Kluyveromyces lactis: one gene and its partner. The protein of the gene in region 1 interacts with the protein of each later gene in a biochemical or structural test. Links are inferred from orthologs where the notes say so. Each region holds a gene or a part of one and is shown on either strand. Other genes may lie near its edges.

Region 1 (8,437 bases):
TCAATTCACCGATATTGACGGGACCGAATCCATCCACGTCTTTACAAGCGGAGACACGTGACGTGATTTTATCCTCGTTTAAATGTGCAGGAAGAGGTAGCTGAACCAAGATCCCGTGCACTGAATCATCGCTATTTTCATCGTCGATCTGACCGAGCAATTCCACTTCGGTGACAGTTTCATCCAAATGGATAAATTTAACATCGATTCCAGCATCTTTAGCAGCCTTTAACTTCATCTTAACATAAGTGTTCGAATCAGGTCTGTTTCCAACTTGGAAAATGGTCAAAGTGGGACGGAAAACTGCATATTTCTCCTTTAAACTAGAGATTTCATCCTTAATCTCATCGCGAATGCCATTGGCAATAGCTTTACCGTCGATGATAGCCATAATTTCCGAATAATGTATGGGTATAGAACCTTGCGTGATGATGCTTCTCGAAAACTTTAAACTGGATTAGAGTTGGATTCTCGAAACAAAAATAGATCACCTCTTGCTGTATATATATATATAGTCAGCCCAGCGATGAATATAACCCCGACACTGACCAATTGAGCTATCAAGCAATTGATGAACACGATAAAGAGACCTGAATGTGAAAGGTAGGGCCATTCCAATGGTTTCTGCATCGTTTAGGTACCATTTGATTCCATTTTCATTTTTCACAGTTCAACAAGTCAAAAAAGGATATTCATGTCACGTGACATGCATGAGAGATACGTTCCAACACCTTGGAACGGTAAGGACGAGCAGTATATGGCTTGTATGTCACTTGAATGCAAGCAAAATACAAGTTACGTATCAAGGGTCTTCTTGTTCACTAGCGGAATGTTTGTATAAGTACCTATGAATCAACTCATATGTATGGCTTCATGTATCTGACTCTGACGCGCGTCACGCGTCAGAGTCAAATCTTCTCTTTCGGACCAAATGATTCCCTCAGAAATTGCTGTACGATACCGGCATTCGGCATTGTTTTTTTGACTGGGAAAACGTATCACGTGAATATCACGTGAATAAAGGCTGTTTCCTGAATTCTGAGTCTCTGTAGTTAAGACACTTGTGATAGAATGATTACTTTCAGGTTGGAAAGATGAAAGAGTGATAGAATGGTTCATTCAAATGCTACATACTCCGATGTACCACCAATACAGTTAGTGATATATTATATGGGACAGTGTTTTCAAAGCGCACAACTGAGTCTTTTACCCAATAACAGCACATTTCCAGACTCACATCACGTGACTGAATTGTCACATTCACTCATTTATATATAACGGGAAAATGAATTGAATGGGAATTGAACTGAACAGTAACAGCAGGTGACAATTTAACTACACTGTACATATTATGTCTCCATTATTGTGATATATAACCCAATCTTATAATTTATCTACCCCACAATTTCGTCATGGCAGGTACAGGACTTCCAGAACCCTGGGTTATCAAGTTTAGTAGATCGAAGAAACGTGAATACTTCTTCAACCCGGAGACTAAGGAATCGGTTTGGGAGGCACCGTCAGGTACAGATGAGGACCAATCAAAGAAATACTTAGAGGAGAACCCATTGAGGGTCAGAGCTTTGCATCTCTTGATTAAGCACAAGGATTCTAGAAGACCAGCGTCTCATAGAAATGAAAATATTACCATTACTAAGGATGAGGCTAAAGAAGAATTAGAAACTTATATCAAGAGATTGAATGGTGGTGAACCATTCGAATCATTGGCTAAAGAGAGAAGTGATTGTTCATCAGCGAAAAGAGGTGGTGATTTGGGGTTCTTCGGTCATGGAGAAATGCAACCTTCTTTCGAGAAGGCTGCGTTTGCTTTGAAAATCGATCAAGTCAGTGATATTGTAGAATCTGACAGTGGTCTTCATATCATCAAAAGAGTTGCCTGAACAGGACTCTTCACCATAAATCGGGTTTATAGTTTTCTGTAACAGCTTCATCTAACCCATAATTCGATTGCCAGTAGTTAAACCCGCCTTTCAATACCCATATTTGGAACCTGTTCAACTGAGATTCTGGTATCGACCGTAAAAATAGCATAGCAGAGCTAGGACCTCTCTGTTGTGATTGTGCGCAATGGAAAACGCAGTTAATAATTTCTGATGCACCATCAGCTCCGATTTCAGCTTTATCAAGTAATTCTTGTCTCAATGTATCTACGTAATTCAGATCCGATTTAAGCCTTCTGTAAGGGTAGTTCCAGGATCCCTTGATATGTCCACCTATATGGTCTGAACCTCGAACATCAATGACTTGGAATGGTTGTCCTAGAGATGTGTGTCCTTGTTTAATCCACTGGTATAGGTCTATTGCGTCTAGATATTTCAATGAAGATATGGAATGCGATTGCATGATGAACTTACGTTGCAAAAAAAGCTTCAATCAACTGAGGATCCAGTAAAAAAGTGTCTATTTCGAGGACCGTGATTCGCTGCTATTTGAATTAACCTTTCTATTCTCCTTCTTTTCTTTGATCGTTCACTTAGTTAAATGAGTGGTTAAAGTTAAAATGTCAACGAAATAGGGCATATAAAAGAGAGAGAGAGAGAAATGTATGTAAGTATACAACGGGTACAGGATACATATATGCGAACGAAGTAGAAATGATATCAAATAATAAAAAGTAAAACAACAAGTATATGAGGCGTTTCAATCGGTAGTTGGTGACCTTTCCCTGTCCCCTTCCTCTTCGTCGTCATCTTCATCTGAAAACAAATGATTCGGCGATTCAGAACTACCTCTATGCAGTTCAGGATCACTATCACTAGTTGGAGATTCAACCTCTTCACCAGTGTAGTCTTTCGCGAATTGAGTTACTGGGGATCTACCCGAAATCCTTTTACTTCTTCTAACGCTTTCATGACCCATGGGTCCAATAAGTTTTGAATACAACTTCTTTCCAAGTGTCTTTTTAAGAAGCATTTCTCTAACTTCGAAATACAAGTCCTTTGATGCGACGTTGACAGATTCTTGGTTCTTCTTGAAATACGATCTGAAATCTTGAATATGTTTCTTGAATTCCAATTCGTTCTTCTTCAACCAAGATACGTTCAACTCCTGTCTCGTGGCACCTCTTGCGAAATTTCTCATCAAGTACTTGTCATAGTCTCTGATGATCTTGGTGATAATATCACTGGTAGAAACACCTTCGGTACGTTGGGTAGTTAAAAACTTACCCATTGCTTTAATTGGTCTGTAGATATCGTCATTATCAGCACTAGCGTATGGTAGATCGTCATGTGCCACATAATCGATCTTGTGTTCTTCTAAAAATTTCGGCGTCACAGTCCATGGGGCATCCGGTATCACTTCATCAACCCATCTACAATGTGTCAACGTCTCGCATCTCTGCTTATCGGTAAGGACAGTCAACCCTTTCAACTTGTGCGTCACTTTATCGCTTGGAACACCACAAATCAACGTCACGTTGGGGAACGACTTCTTACACTGTTCCAATTGTTTCATATGACCCAAATGGAAAAGATCAAACACACCATCCGCATATATACGAATCGGACGATCTGTTGGTGGTAAATTGAACTTGAAGCCCTTAGGTCTAAACTTTCTATACTCAACAGGTAGCTCTTCATCCAACTCCTTTTCCCTGGCCTTGAAATCATTTGTTTCAGAGTGTGGTCTTTTCCGCAAAGGACCTTCCGATTCCTCAGTCTCTGCATCTTCGCTGGTTGTTGTTGTTGTTTCAGATACAATCGATGCTGCTGCATCTGGTGCAGTATCGTTACTTTCTACTCGTTCATCGTCACTTACTGTCATCTCATCGTGGGACCTTTTCTTTCCCAATTTGAACAGGTTAGTGAAAGAAGCACCTGTACTAGAAAGACGTTCTTTCAAGGAAGGAGCACGAGTAAGCGGAGCCATTGTGTGATATTAGTCTAGTATGCTAAAGAAAATGTCTGTTAGAAGGTTACCAGTGCGTGCTTGCTATTCTCATTGAACGAAAGGTGTCTAAATTCAATAAACCCTAACACTAAAAACACTCAATTATAAATTCAATTGTTTCAAAGTTACCAAATTACAATTCAAAACCGTGTTACCACTACCAATTCAACCATAATCAACCATCAGTCAAACCGTGAGCATGTCAAAACTCTGAGTTGAAGACCTAAACTTATGTCTATTCGATGCTTAATTTCTGTGAAACTTTTTTGTTCTTTGGACGCATTGTGGTAGGTCAAGTGGGACCATTATTTTTCACATGGGAGAAGTATAAACATACCACGTGATATAAACAAAGGCCGGGTAAATAATATTATTTATTCACAGTAACAAATATATAAACAGCTAATGGGCGGTTAAACGGTGGTTAAAACTCTGGCAGTAACATGTGACAAAGCAGAGTGCGGCAACCACCTCTACAAGTCAAAGTGTATTTCAGCTGATGTGGGACGCCAAGTATGAGTAGTATTTGCACCAGATGAATTATGTGGGATTTACTGGGGAGAAGAAGAAGGTTGGTTCATAAGTTGGAGTCACGTGACGTATACAGTCACGTGACATAAATATTCATTTAACCACAGAAGTTAGATGAACTGCCATCAGGCGCCTGGCAATCACCTTTGCAACCAATTATACACCTGCTGCTCGAGCAACACAAACGGATTAGAGCTCTTGATGACTCCTTCATGTAACCACACAGAGTATGCACCCATTGTGTTAGCCATTACCACATCGGTGAATAACCTGTCACCCACCACTGCGACCTCGGATGGATCTTCACATACCTTGCTTTTCTTGAAGTAGGCCATGATTTCGACATGGCATCCTGGTTTCTTAATCGAATGCAAGAGCACTGGTACGCCAGTGCTCTTCTCCAGTGTCTTCGCCTGAATGTGTCCAATATCATCGTTCGTGCCTGCACTGTTACTGACGATTAGCAACTTTTTCCCCGGGTACAACTGTTTCAATTTATCCCATTGTTCTTGATATTCAGGCCATACTTTGTCGTCATGTGGTTTTGCGAAACAGTTGTCCTTATCAAGGACTATGGCTTTGATGTGACTCGGTAAAGGTAATTGTATCTCATTGAAATTCGCATACTTTATACTGGGAATGCATAGTTTAGGATCTTTGAACAATCTGGCTACGTTCAAAGTAGCGCTTAAATTGAACCCTACAACCATTTCCCAAGGGCTGATGCAACAGAATGGTATGAGGTCGGTCAGTTAGCCTTATTACAGCAGAATTGAACCACCATCCATCGCTAACGCCTATAAATGCCTTGAAAAAAAATTTGTATAATATCAAAAAAGTTGCGAAATGAAGTTTCCACTTCCGAAAGAGTTAACATTAGTAAGTTTACAGATGGGCCTGAGCACTCAATCAGACCAAATAAAGGATCTCTTTTATTGTAGAGCATAGATGTCTTCTAACCAGGGAATTTCTACGGCGTCTGCGCCAATTCGGAGAGCGCAGGGCCCGTCTACATCAAATCGTGGAAGGAAAAGAGGAAATGGCAACCAGAATCATCATGCCACCACCAGCGGTAGCACTGGAAATAGCAGTTCGGTGCATCCAGATTGGAATCCTGTAACTGGCAGCTCAAATAAATGGGCTGGCATTAACGGCAATGAGAAATCTATGGGGACTGGCAATGGGACAGATGATGATGACTCAAGCAACGTGTGTCTGATATGTGCCGAAAAATTGCATATCATTGCCCTATCACCGTGCAACCATCCTACTTGTCACAAGTGTTGTTTAAGACAAAGAGCGTTGTACGAAAAGAAACAGTGTTTGTTCTGTAGAAGTGAAGTTGAGGATATCATCTTCACGGATAAGATAAAAGAAACTTATGAGCATTTGGATAAGAAGGCCAAATTGGAATTCAAGAACGAGAAATTGGGGATACGGTTTACCAGCAAAAATGTTATGAATGATGCTATGAATCTTTTGAAATACGTCTCACCGTTTGGAGATGCCAATAAAGATTTTGGATCGTTTAAGAAGTTGAACGAATTCTTGAGACAAGAACATAATAAGACAATATGTATGATTTGTGCTGGGCATAAAAAAGCGTTCCCCGGCGAGTTAAAAGTTATGACTGTTAAGCAATTAAAGATACACGAAAGTCGTGGCGACCCTAAGGATGGATTTAAAGGCCATCCTATGTGTGGATTTTGCTCTGGTAAAAGGTTCTACTCTGACGATGAGCTTTATAAGCACATGAAACTTTCCCATGAAAGATGTCATATCTGTGATCAACTAGACCCATCACAACCGCAATATTTCAAAAACTATGAGGACTTATTCGAACATTTCAAATCAGCCCATTACGTATGCACGGTACCGTCCTGCCTCGATGCCAAATTTGTCGTCTTCAGTGATGAGTTGGACTTAAGAGCACATATCATCAAAGAACATCCTCATCTTGCAGGTGATAGCAGAAGAGCTATGACGTTGATAGATAATACCTCAAAGAAGTTCAGATCACAAATTACTACGTTCTCCAATCCAACAAGAATTATAGATGCACAGAATGAGGAATCAAATTCTGCAAACTCAAGAGATGTCAAAAGGAGGAGAATGGAACAAAGAGCAAGACATTACCTTGGGAACTCTGAACCAGACTTCCAGTCCTTCTTAATCATCAATGACCTATTTAACAAAAACGAAATTTCTGCTCAAGAGCTTCAATCCAAATATGAAGACTTGTTTAAGCAACACGCGGATGATATACAATTACTAATTTACGATTTATCGGAGTTATATCATTCAACTTCGGATAAACACAAAAGATTGCGTGCTATATACGAAGGCATTATGAAGAAGAAAGAGAATGCAGGGAAATTCAAACCTCTCGTCGCCGATTCATCATCTTCGGTTAACGTAGTTTATGGTAAATGGGGTAAAAAGAGTTCTTCTGGTGTTGGCGGGTCGAACGTGAAGTTCACGTCTCTACCAGCTGTATCCGAACCTATATTCTCCTCCAAAGCCTCGTATACTAATTTGCGGAAAAATGGCTCTTCTTCACCGTCCTCTCCAGTTATTAGGAGCGGTTTGACTTCCAATTCATCGTCATCAACTTCTTTAAACTATGCGAAGAAGAATCAATCACCGCCAGGTTCTTCAACCGTTGTAGTGAATTCACAACCGAATGTGACAGCTATCAAATCACCTAATCCAACCAGCTTCCCCAAGTTACAAGCTACTAAGAAAAAATTTGTTGCACCTCCAGTGAAACAGACTACCATACCAAACCCATCCACTTGGGGTAAGCCTCAAAACGACAACGATTCTATCAACTTGGATTCGTTAGACAATGCATTACCAGCTAGTGGTAGTAAGAAAAAGAGCAAACAAAAACAACTACTGTTCCATATTGGCATATAGATTTAACCCCGTTATATACAGCAGATTGTTTTAATAATACAAGAAAGCTCGCTGAAACATTTAGATATTCTTCTAAGCTTTATCTAACAGGTATCGTCAGCTGTCTCGGACACCTTTGCCTGCATAATGGACACTCCTGTCTTTCTAACGTCCATTCCATGATACAATCCCAGCAGAAAAGGTGACCACACGGAGTCGCGCTGGGATCCAGCATATAGTTAAGACATAAAACACACTTACGTGAATCCTCTTTGATGAAAGGTAGGACTTCTAGATCGCTAAGATCTTTTGAGGTGTGTTTTTTAGCTAATGCACTTAAACTCTTGTGGCTCTTCCCATCATCTGTTCCAATTCTGTCAGCGATGTATTCTGCAATCTGCGGTAAAAGCTTAGAAGCTAATTGCATACCAAGTATAAAACCAAGAATCTTGTAGTTTTGCGATGACTTCTTCTTGAATTCTACCTCATTCTTGTTCATTTCATGGCCAACCACATATCTCATTCCAAATATTCTCTTTGAGATATCATAATACTGTCCGCTCAAGTAGAATATAATTAAGTGCAAATTCAAAGTGGAATCCAAGATGTCCCTGAAACTCTTGCCATTGAATACTTTCAAGAAACCAGATCCCCTCTCATTGAGCTTATACTTGTAGAATACTTTCGATAATATCCACGGTACCCCACAATAACTGATAGCGAAACCAATCCTTCGCAGGAGTCTCGCAACACCTTTTCCTCGCCTATCAACATACGCCAAATCAACGTACTCTTCTCCAAGCGTTCTCCTATACCTTAGTGTTGTAATTGACAAGTATATCAACTTGCTGAGGATCATTATCTCACTAACATACCTGTTAGTGAACTGTTGTCCCTTAACTTTCCGTAGTACATCCTGGATCTTTTGTAACAGCAAGTTTTCCACAGTATCATCCTTTTGATGCGCCTGAACTATACTAGGTGCATCAGCAAATGGGAACTTCATGTCTGGTGCCATTGCTTGTCTCTCGTCAGTTTGTGTTCTTATTCGTTTTTGAAGATGTTAGATGGTTGAAATTGATCAATTGGAGAAATG
Region 2 (10,140 bases), on another chromosome or scaffold:
TCCACCATTTTCGAAAGGAGCCAATGGTTTGTACGGCAGTTTCAAGGCCGGAGAAATGGAATCTCCGGGGAAATTAACCAATCCGGCGGAAAGATGAAAAACAAAAAAAACTCTTACAAATAGCACCAGAAAGTAGAGAGGCAACAGAAAAAAGTAGGAATATATACAATGACCTTCTCCTGTTCAGCGCGTGAAACATCTTTCTCCGGGGTAGACCGGAATATAACATGTTCAAGCCGCTCTTTGAAGCGTTTACTCACTTTCCTTCAGGGTCTGTCGTTAATTCCCTAACACGCTCCCGGATTTTTCATTTTTTTTGAAACTTTATGTGGGGTAAGTCATTTCAACAGCGGGGGCACGGGACGAAGAAAATGATTCCGGAGCTGCCTGGAGTTGTCGCAGATGTGATCTGGTCGTTGGAAAAACTAAAACTTCATCTTTGACAGCGCCGTGGCGCAGTGGAAGCGCGCAGGGCTCATAACCCTGATGTCCTCGGATCGAAACCGAGCGGCGCTATTTTTTGATTTTTTTTTTATTCGTAGCTAATCCTGCCGTCATCTCTCTTTCTGGTCTGCGAAACTGAAAACCAAAAAAACCTGAAAATGAAGAAGTGAGATGAATAGGCTCATCTCATCTTCAGCATACTAACAATTTTTATTGTTATATAAAGGAACTCCTCTCTGAAGCAATCTCTCAAGAATAAGTGAATGTCTACTGAAACTGCACAAGAGGAGCTGCTTGCGCGTCATCGCAAGGAACGTAAAGATTTGACCAATCAGATTACTTCTTTGAAGAAGCAAGCATCAAAGAAGACGAGGAAGCAAGTAAATGCCAAATGTACAGACTTAGAACAGGAACTTGATACTCGACATAAATCAGAGCTCGCAAAGTTGAACGGTGTTGCTTTTGAGCATTCTGATTCGGAAGAAATCACACCAGCTCAATTATTAGCTCAATTGTCCTTAGATCAAGATCCTGTGCAATCTGTTTGTAAAACCGATGAGTTGCAACAGCGAGAACCAGAGTTACAGGGAAAGAAACGTAGGAATAGACAAAAGGAGCGATTGGCAAAAAGGGATGCAGAGGTTGCAAGAATTAAACAACAGGCAATGGAAGAGGCAGCCGAGCAGCCGAACTTGAAAGATATTGAGCAAAACTCTTTGGATAAAGTTTGTGTAGTGCTAAATTTGAAACAATTCGATATCCAGCCGGATGGACACTGTTTGTTTAATAGTATTCTAGATCAACTGAGGCTCCGCCATCAGACTAATAATGACATTGAGTATGATTATAACTTTCCAGAGGAATATACAGGTACCAAGTACGTGTCTGAAATGGACGTCTATTCGTTGAGATCGCTTTCATCATCATTCATTAGGGAGAACCGTGACGATTTCATCCCATATCTTTTCGATGAAAATACAATGACCGTAAAGGATCTTGATGAGTATACAAAAACTATGGAAACTACAGCCCAATGGGGTGGAGAAGTAGAAATTTTGGCACTATCAAAAGTTTTTAACAGTACCATTAGCATTTTGATGTCAGGAAGATCCACTTACAGGATAAATGAAGACGCGAAGAATCCCGAACTCAAGATCGTATACTACAAACATTCGTATACGCTCGGAGAGCATTATAACTCGTTGCATGATCTGTAGTTTTACTATCAATAGTTGGTTCGTATTGTCTTATTGTAGAAGTTCGATTTCACATCTCATCCCATCATTTGTTTTTTTTTTTCAGATTCTGTCAATATAAGATACATTGAGTAATCAAATCTTGAAATAGTTCATAATACTTAAATTTCAATCAACTGACCTCAATGCAAGGTATTGCCTTGTGCCAACATACATGCATCTAATTCACCAATCTATAAAACGGTTTTATACCGTACTGGGACGACCTTCAAATAATCTAGCTTCAGGCATCGTTGGATTGGCCAATGTAGGTAAATCAACGTTTTTCCAGGCAATAACCAAGTCGAAATTGGGTAATCCAGCTAACTACCCTTTTGCCACTATAGAACCCGAAGAGTCCAAGGTTATTGTACCCAGCTTTAAATTGGACCATCTTCATAAACTCTATGAGAGTCAGAAGAAAATTCCAGCTACACTTTCCATTTTCGATATTGCTGGATTAACAAGAGGAGCATCAAGTGGGGAAGGTTTGGGAAACAAGTTCCTTAATGATATTCGGCACGTAGACGGAATATACCAAGTGGTTCGAGGATTTGAAAATGATGAAATTACTCATATTGAAGGAAATGTGGATCCAGTTAGAGACTTGTCATTAGTGCAAGATGAACTGGTGCTGAAAGATCTCGAATGGCTGGAAGGTGCAAGAGAAAGAATTAACAAAAAGATAAACAGATCTCCGAAAAACTCTCCAGAATTCTTAGAAATGCATCTTGAACTGAGATTGCTAGAGGAATTAGAGGCCCATATGTACGAGGGAAGAAAATTGTCACACTTCAAGCAGAACTGGACAGAGGAAGAGATTAAAATCCTGAATAAACACAACTTTCTAACAGCTAAACCAACCCTGGTTCTACTTAACGTTGCTCCCAAAGATTATCTTTTGCAAGAAAACAAATTCTTGAAGAAAATCAAGGATTGGATCCAAGAATATGCGCCTGGAGACGAAGTGATGCTGTTTAGTGCTGAACTTGAAACGAAGTACAACGAATTGGACAACAATCTCCAAGAATTTGAGGCTTTTTGCAAAGAGATCATCGGTAAAGAGAAGTTGGAAGTACCTCTGACAGCACTCCCAAATATTATCATCAAAATGAGAGAGTTATTGCAATTGATCAGTTTTTACACCTGTGGACCAATTGAGGCTCGTCAATGGACCATTAGGAAAGGAACGTTGGCACCAGAAGCTGCTGGAACTATCCATAGTGATTTAGAAAAGACATTTATCAGTGCTAACATTATAAAATTCGATGATATCAAAAAAATGGATCCTCCGCTTCAAGAGTCGCAATTGAAGTCTCAAGGGAAGATCAAAAGAGGCGGTAAACAATATGTGGTCGAAGACGGTGATATAATCCACTTCAAAGCTACTAGTGGTAAAAAATAATAGAGGCTATACCCATAGCAACACAAGATAATAGACTCAAAGGCGTACATACTGCAAGAATATAAGCTTTGTAAAGATCCGACATGTATAAAGAATAAAGTAAAGGCATTGTTTTCGTTTTCCATTGTATTACTAGTGATTATCAGAGCGTTTGACAGGTATCTCTTCTCATTTCTAATGATCGAAGAGCTGGGTTTATAGCATTGTCACTAAGGACATTTTCTCATCATTAAACTAATTATGGAGAAGCCCTCTCCTCTATCTTCAATGTCTTTCCTAGCGGAAGTACACGATGCTTCTGCTGAAGCACCTAAGTAACTTGATCTTAGTGGTTTAAATTCGATTACCGAATGCTTCGAGTATGGAAACGATCCGCATTTAATCTGAATGGTATTTTTAATCGATCTTTGTCAAGTATCAAGTTGCATCAATGTGTTCGAGTTCTTATACATTTGAAAGAAAACTTCAAAAAAAAAAAATTCGAAAAGAAAAAAAAAAACACATCCAAACTGGCGTTCATGAAATTCTTACATGAATTAGGGTTACAAAGTGATGTGGAAGAAAGGCCATTTGCAGAAGTCTCTGCTTCGAGTTGTCAGCTTGAATGCCTTGCTTTGAAGTCCCATGATTAAAATCATATTCCATTAAAAAAATATGTACGAATTATACACAAAGGATGGAGGGCACTAACACATGACAACAAAAAAGTTACTCATTCAAGCAACCAATAAACCAGACAGTAACCAAACAAATATGAGTGAGATGTTGGTAGAGGATATGATTATTTTTTAACCACTGATAGTAGAATAGAGGTACACGATAAACTACCCTACCTAGAGTGGGTTGTCATTTTTTGAAGTGTCAGAAAAAGGTTCCATCCTATATTGAACACAATTGACCATACTTTATAGGAGTCTTACTATAATCTTAGAGAATGAGGATACAAGAGCTTTCTTGAGACCTGGATATCGAATAAAAGTAAAATAAAAAAATTTGAATTCAAGGTATGTCGGTAGAAAACTCAAAGGATGTGCAGTAAATCTGGTCAACACTTTAGTTTCCTGCCCGTTATTCATTGAATGCCAATTTGATATTGACAATACATCATTATCGGTGCGTTTAGGCAGCGATGATGACTTCGACATCCACACCAGGTTCAATGGTGATTTGGGTGATTCTCTTGACGATGTGAGCTGGAGCTTCCAAGTCGATGTATCTCTTGTGGATTCTCATTTCGTAAGTATCCCAAGTCTTAGAACCTTCACCGTTAGGGGTCTTTCTGGTGGAGATCTTCAAGACCTTAGTAGGTAATCTGACTGGACCCTTCTTGACCAACTTGAAAGTTTCAGCATTCTTGATGATGTTGGCAGAAACGTTTTCCAATTGCTTGACCTTAGTGGAGGTCAAGTTAATTCTGATCTTGTGGATCACAACTTCTTGTTGTTGTTCAGATTTCTTTTCAACTTGAGACATCGTGTATACCTTTTAGTTTTATTGGTTTCTTATGACATGAATAGACTTAATATCTAATTGTAAGTAACCTTAACAATACCATGCTAATGCTCATCTATCTTGGAGAGCTTAGAATTTCAACTTCGGAGCACTAGCTTGTCGACATCATAGAACATCATGAAATTTTCATATAGTATTCTGTTTTAGGAAAGAGAGGATGATTATATCAAAAAAGTAGAATCCCATGGCATATATGTACGGGTGTATAAAGAATGAGCAGTCCCCGGTAATATCCGTCGGAGGTGCGACGGAGATTCTTGAACATTAAGGATCAATCGTTGCCAGAATAACGAAACAGGTCAATTGCAAAAGATAAGAATGCCTTTTTTGTGCAAACTAACGTTCCAATACACTTAGGATTGAATTAAGGATAATGTATGTGTACCATCCACGAAGTATATAAATACACTCATTAGTGAATGAAATAGTTCTATCCCAGTTGATACTTCGCTTAAACTAATTCTGATGGCATTGTATATTATCTCCCGTTGAAACTGTCAAAAACCAACATACTGGCTATTTATCATGACACACACAGAATGCGAAGACTTGGAGTACTTAAGATCCATTCAATCCGTTAGGGAAACTTGTAAGAAAGTATACGGCCCCCCTTTGCAAACAGAAAATGGTGACAGTACACATTTTGAAGTGGATCTGGGTAAAATGTCGAAAGTGACAGATTACTTGGTCAATATTATTGAAAGAGATTACAAGAACCTAGGCGATATTCCTGTTCATGGAAGATGGCAACATTTAAACTGTAACGGTATTGATAGAATGGGATCTCTCATTAATTCCTGGGCTGCCCAGAACATCGATCCTTTGGAGGTATGCAGACGGTTGATTGATTTGATAACGTTTAGTGTGATTGTCGATGCTGGTGCAGGTTCAGAATGGTCTTTTGTTGAGAAAGAAACTAAGATTAACAGATCAGAAGGACTAGCGGTGGCCTCTTTCTATATGTTCAAAGATGGTGCCTTATCGCATGATAAATCTCAGACAGTACAAGGTTCTAGATTGAAAGACTTCAGTCAACAAGATTTTGATAAAGGGTTTCAGATAAGTAGTAAGAACTCTTTGCAAGGTTACGAAGGTAGAATTCAGTTGATCAGAAGTTTAGGGAAATCCCTTTCTGAAAGACCTGAGTTATTCGGTGAAGATGCCAGGCCTGGTAATATAATTGATCACCTTTACAAATTAAATGGCTCTGAAAACATTGATTTGCAACAGTTGTGGGAGGTTCTAATGACTGGATATACCTCTATATGGCCTACTGGAAGATTAACTCTGAACGGTGAACCTTTAGGCGATTGCTGGGTGTATAAAACCGAAAACGATGAAATTATCGTGTCATTTCATAAATTGACGCAGTGGTTATGTTATTCATTATTGAGACCACTAGAGGAATTTGGCTACAAGTTCAATATATCTTCCAAGGACTTGCAAACAGGTCTACCAGAGTACAGAAACGGGGGGTTGTTCTACGATTTGGGTGTACTATCTTTGAAAGAAGAATATTTGAACATTGGATTGACTAATTCGAAGAAGTATGGATATGATCCGTCAATCCCAACATTCACGCCCGATGATGGTGTAATTGTAGAATGGAGATGTCTTACCATTGGGCTCTTGGACATCTTGTTACCATTAGTAAACGATAAATTAGGTTCTAATTTACAATTGTCACAGTTGATAGAAGCTGGAACCTGGAAAGCTGGAAGAGAAATTGCCGCAGAACTTAGATCAAAAACATCTGGGCCACCGATCAATTTACACAGTGATGGCACAGTTTTTTGAAAGGCTCAAGCAATTAGAACAGTTGGCTCCAACTTTGCCATATCCTATCTTGAATGTCATGATTCTAGTTTATATTTATAAATGTTTCATAATTTTGATTTTTAAAAGTGACGTTAAGAACTGAAAAGAATAAACGGAGTAGATTTTTGTATCGATGTGTTGACATATTGCATTTTTTTATTTACGAATATAATTAGACGCTGCTTGACTATACACACGCACTTATACTATGAATTCAACATAAAGAAGAAACGCCCTTATGAAGAATAAATTATCAGTTCAGTGGCAACTTCTGACGATCATCTAGAAAAGTAATTTATTTTTGGTGGCACATTGTTTCCCTGATAAATTTGGATAAAATAGCCTTGGGAAAATAATTCCTTCAGGCTGATGGTTGCACCGGCTTTTTCTTATCGTTTTCATCATCTGAGAAATTTAGGTCTGCTTCATTTGGTTCAGATCCGGCTGGTTGTTCGTACTCTTGGTTCCATTCTTGTTCCAAAGATTGCAAATCGTCTAGATCGAAATCTGCAACATTTTCTGGATCTGTTGGCAATTGTTGCGACACAGCTAACATATAAGAAGTAGATGTAGGTCTCCATGTGAAGGAAAGAGCAACGAATACGGCATAATATACCAAGGATGGCCAGAAATCCACAAAGAAGAATCTAGTTCTCCAATGTTGTTCGACCATCTCGATACTACTCATACCGATTAAAACAAAAGAGGATAGAATTATACCACCAAAAATAACGAATAAGGCGACATAAAAAATAATTATCAATTTTTTGTACATGCCCAATTTAACGATTTGCTTTTGTTGCTTCAAGTATTTGACAGTTTGATCGAGGGATTGTAGAATCAAGAAGTAGAAAATCATGAAACAGATGCCTAATGGGATAAAGAAAAACAATGGGACCATGGATGTCGAATCTGAAGGAGTCATATAGTTTTGAATAAGGGCAGCGACAGATATAGCAAACGTAAGTACGGAGAAAAATTGAACACGTCTCATCGTGGTCTTGTTCAATTTAGGGTAAACCACACCGTAACCTTTGCAAATAACAAGAAGTAAGAATAGAGACATGGTGATCTTTGCAGAGTTCAAGATTGAAACAATGACCATGTAAACAGTGGTACCAGCGGTCGAACCCTTAGTGTTCTTCAAGTCATAGTAACCCCAAATGAAGATTGTATCAATGGTTAAAAACACAAATGCAGCCAGTAAATATTTTTGCAAGGGCAATAGTTCATGCTTGTGTTTCCAGAAGGCAAATAAGTACAAGGCCATAGCGACAACATAAAAGATTGCCAATAACCCATACAATGGCAATTTGTTAATTTCAGAAGCAGCTAGATTACCAAAACTATTCCTGAAATTTACCTCAGCCTTGTAAGAGATCCCAGTGTCCTTAGCGTAAGTACCAACACAATAGTAACCAGTTTTCTTAATGGCATATTTGTCCTTCACAAGACCTGTATTTCCCACATAGAACGTATGAATGTCGGCACTTAATGACTTTTCGGTATCACTATCTGGATCATACGCTTCAGGTGAAATGATAAACTGGTTCTTGTTCTTTTCTTGACATAGATTCTCTTTTATCGCTTCTTCGTCACAGATATACTTAACTACACCCGCTTTCGTCTTAGCCCCAATGTGGATGTAATCTTGGAAATCAAAGATCACCACAGAGATGCCTTCTTTGTTCAATTTCTTTAAATCGAACGAAATATATGGATCTACACGACCACTCCAATCCTCTTTAGAATACATACCACTGCAGATTTGATTCTGCTTCTCTGTGATAGTACCCTTATTGGCCGTCGCAAAATGCAACCAAAGGGCCGTACAAAACAAAGTGACCCAATTCAATTTGAAATTCATCGTATTGTCTATCAAAAGCTAATTATAGGCCTTTATTCTCTCCTTTTTCCTAGACTCTCAAGAAAAGATCGGCAATTAGTTTTATTTCGTCTCTTTAAGAATCACACAGCCTCGGATATAAAGTAGGGTCCACAATTCACAAGCTACCACTGGATAAGAATAAATAGCACACAATTGGAAAGAAAAACCTTGTTCTTGTACAGTCGGAAACCGTCTCAGTATATTTTGCTGCCTTCCATTAAATTTTGTTCTGTTACGATATCTAGTGGGTCATTTCTTGTAAAAGGGACCTTTTATTTTCTCATTTCTCTAAAATGTTCAATCCATAAATTATCTGAAAAAACGTAATTTTCAAGAGATTTCGAATTAAAGGAATTTCCTCTAGTATTACAAAGCACTCATCTTATGCTAAGATGATTAACAAGTGGTTTGTGCATATATAGAGAAAGGATGAGAAGTTGCAAGACAACGGATTGTAAACTGCGAGGATGTTAGGAAGGTTTAGTTTTGGTCCCAAGTTTTATAAGAGCGTACATCGAACGGTGTTGAATCCCGTATGGCAGAGGTCTATTCATATCAAGACACTTACAACGCCTAATGAGAATGCATTGAAATTTGTTTCCACAGATGGGGGGCTGCTACAGGAGAAAGGCACACAGAGTGTTGAGATCAAGAACACTGATGAGGAGCTTTTGAAACATGCTCCATTCCCATCTAAAGTGTTCCAGCAATGTCCTGGTGTTGAAGCAATGATGATCGGTGATGATTTCGTCACTATAAATAAAGATGAACTGATTCATTGGAACCAAGTGACTCCTACGGTGATAGATCTATTGGTACAACATTTAGCCAGTGGGAAGCCCACGTTTTTACCAGATTTCTTCGACGTGAAAAAGTCTTCCGAAGTTGGGTACGATGTGGACATTCCTAAATTTGAATACGATGAAGATGAGCAAGAGATCAGCGAGATGATCGATGAATTGATTCAGACAAGGATCAGACCTGCTATTATGGACGACGGTGGTGATATCCAGTACCGTGGATGGAATCCGGAGACAGGGACAGTTTATTTGAAGTTACAAGGTGCATGTAAGTCATGTTCGTCCAGTGAGGATACCTTGAAGCATGGTATTGAAGCTATGTTAAAGCATTACATCGAAGAAGTAGAGGACGTGGTTCAGATCTTGGATCCTGAGGAGAAGATTGCACTTGCGGAGTTCGAAAAACTTGAGAAGAAGCTGGAGAGCAGTAAGAGATGATTGCAATTGCCCAGTATGTCACTTCTTTCTAGCAATGAAAGAAACGTACAGGCATAACTAAGACTAAGCAAGGAATGAATCATGACAGCATGTATTTGCAAGGTATTATGCAAAACAGAAGTACACTATTATTTATTTATTTAATACATTCTATTTATCCCCTATTAGGATGCCCTTCTTGGGATCGATTTGTTTGATGTATTTTTCAATCCGAGAAGCCATCATGATATCAGCATCGGAAATACCAGATACATCATGCGTAGTGAGTCTGAACTGAACTCTGTTGTAGGTAGTAGTAATTGTAGGATGATGGCCCCATAAGTGTGACCTCATGGCAACTTTGTTCAAAAAACTCCATGTCTCTTCAAAATCTCTGAACTTATAATCTCTAACCAATTCATTCTCCATTAATCTCCATTTAGGCAATTTTCTGAGTTCTTGTGTCAGAAGTTTTGGTGGCAACAGCACTGGTACCTGTTTTACTATCTTATTGTACATGTCTATACTATTCAGTGCTTGAAGAGTGGCATTTATTACCTTTTCCAGCATCTCTCTATGCGTAGTTGATAGAATTCCAAGATGTAAGAAATCTTTATTAAC

Evidence for each region.
Region 2: of the proteins of HEL2 (region 1) and RPS20, one has a biochemical effect on the other in vitro, tested with the Saccharomyces cerevisiae proteins (3 studies listed by BioGRID). The link is inferred for Kluyveromyces lactis from reciprocal best matches to the Saccharomyces cerevisiae genes HEL2 and RPS20.

What each region holds. Positions count from the first base shown.
Region 1 is NC_006041.1:1,473,931-1,482,367, forward strand, and holds HEL2 (E3 ubiquitin-protein ligase HEL2), read left to right. Parts: upstream 1-5,391; coding exon 5,392-7,362; downstream 7,363-8,437. Other genes in the region: trifunctional formate-tetrahydrofolate ligase/methenyltetrahydrofolate cyclohydrolase/methylenetetrahydrofolate dehydrogenase ADE3, read right to left, coding at 1-391; peptidylprolyl isomerase ESS1, read left to right, coding at 1,413-1,901; phosphatase YCH1, read right to left, coding at 1,912-2,364; PCT1 (choline-phosphate cytidylyltransferase), read right to left, coding at 2,662-3,891; GEP4 (phosphatidylglycerophosphatase), read right to left, coding at 4,584-5,153; PEX10 (ubiquitin-protein ligase peroxin 10), read right to left, coding at 7,442-8,359. UniProt on the Saccharomyces cerevisiae protein: E3 ubiquitin-protein ligase that plays a key role in the ribosome quality control (RQC), a pathway that takes place when a ribosome has stalled during translation, leading to degradation of nascent peptide chains.
Region 2 is NC_006042.1:2,367,137-2,377,276, reverse strand, and holds RPS20 (40S ribosomal protein uS10), read right to left. Parts: upstream 4,558-10,140; coding exon 4,204-4,557; downstream 1-4,203. Other genes in the region: deubiquitinase OTU2, read left to right, coding at 708-1,661; YLF2 (Ylf2p), read left to right, coding at 1,855-3,084; KLLA0_F25520g (URC4/urg3 family protein), read left to right, coding at 5,122-6,393; KLLA0_F25498g (uncharacterized protein), read right to left, coding at 6,776-8,281; NFU1 (Nfu1p), read left to right, coding at 8,770-9,540; MCO14 (4a-hydroxytetrahydrobiopterin dehydratase), read right to left, coding at 9,691-10,140. UniProt on the Saccharomyces cerevisiae protein: Component of the ribosome, a large ribonucleoprotein complex responsible for the synthesis of proteins in the cell.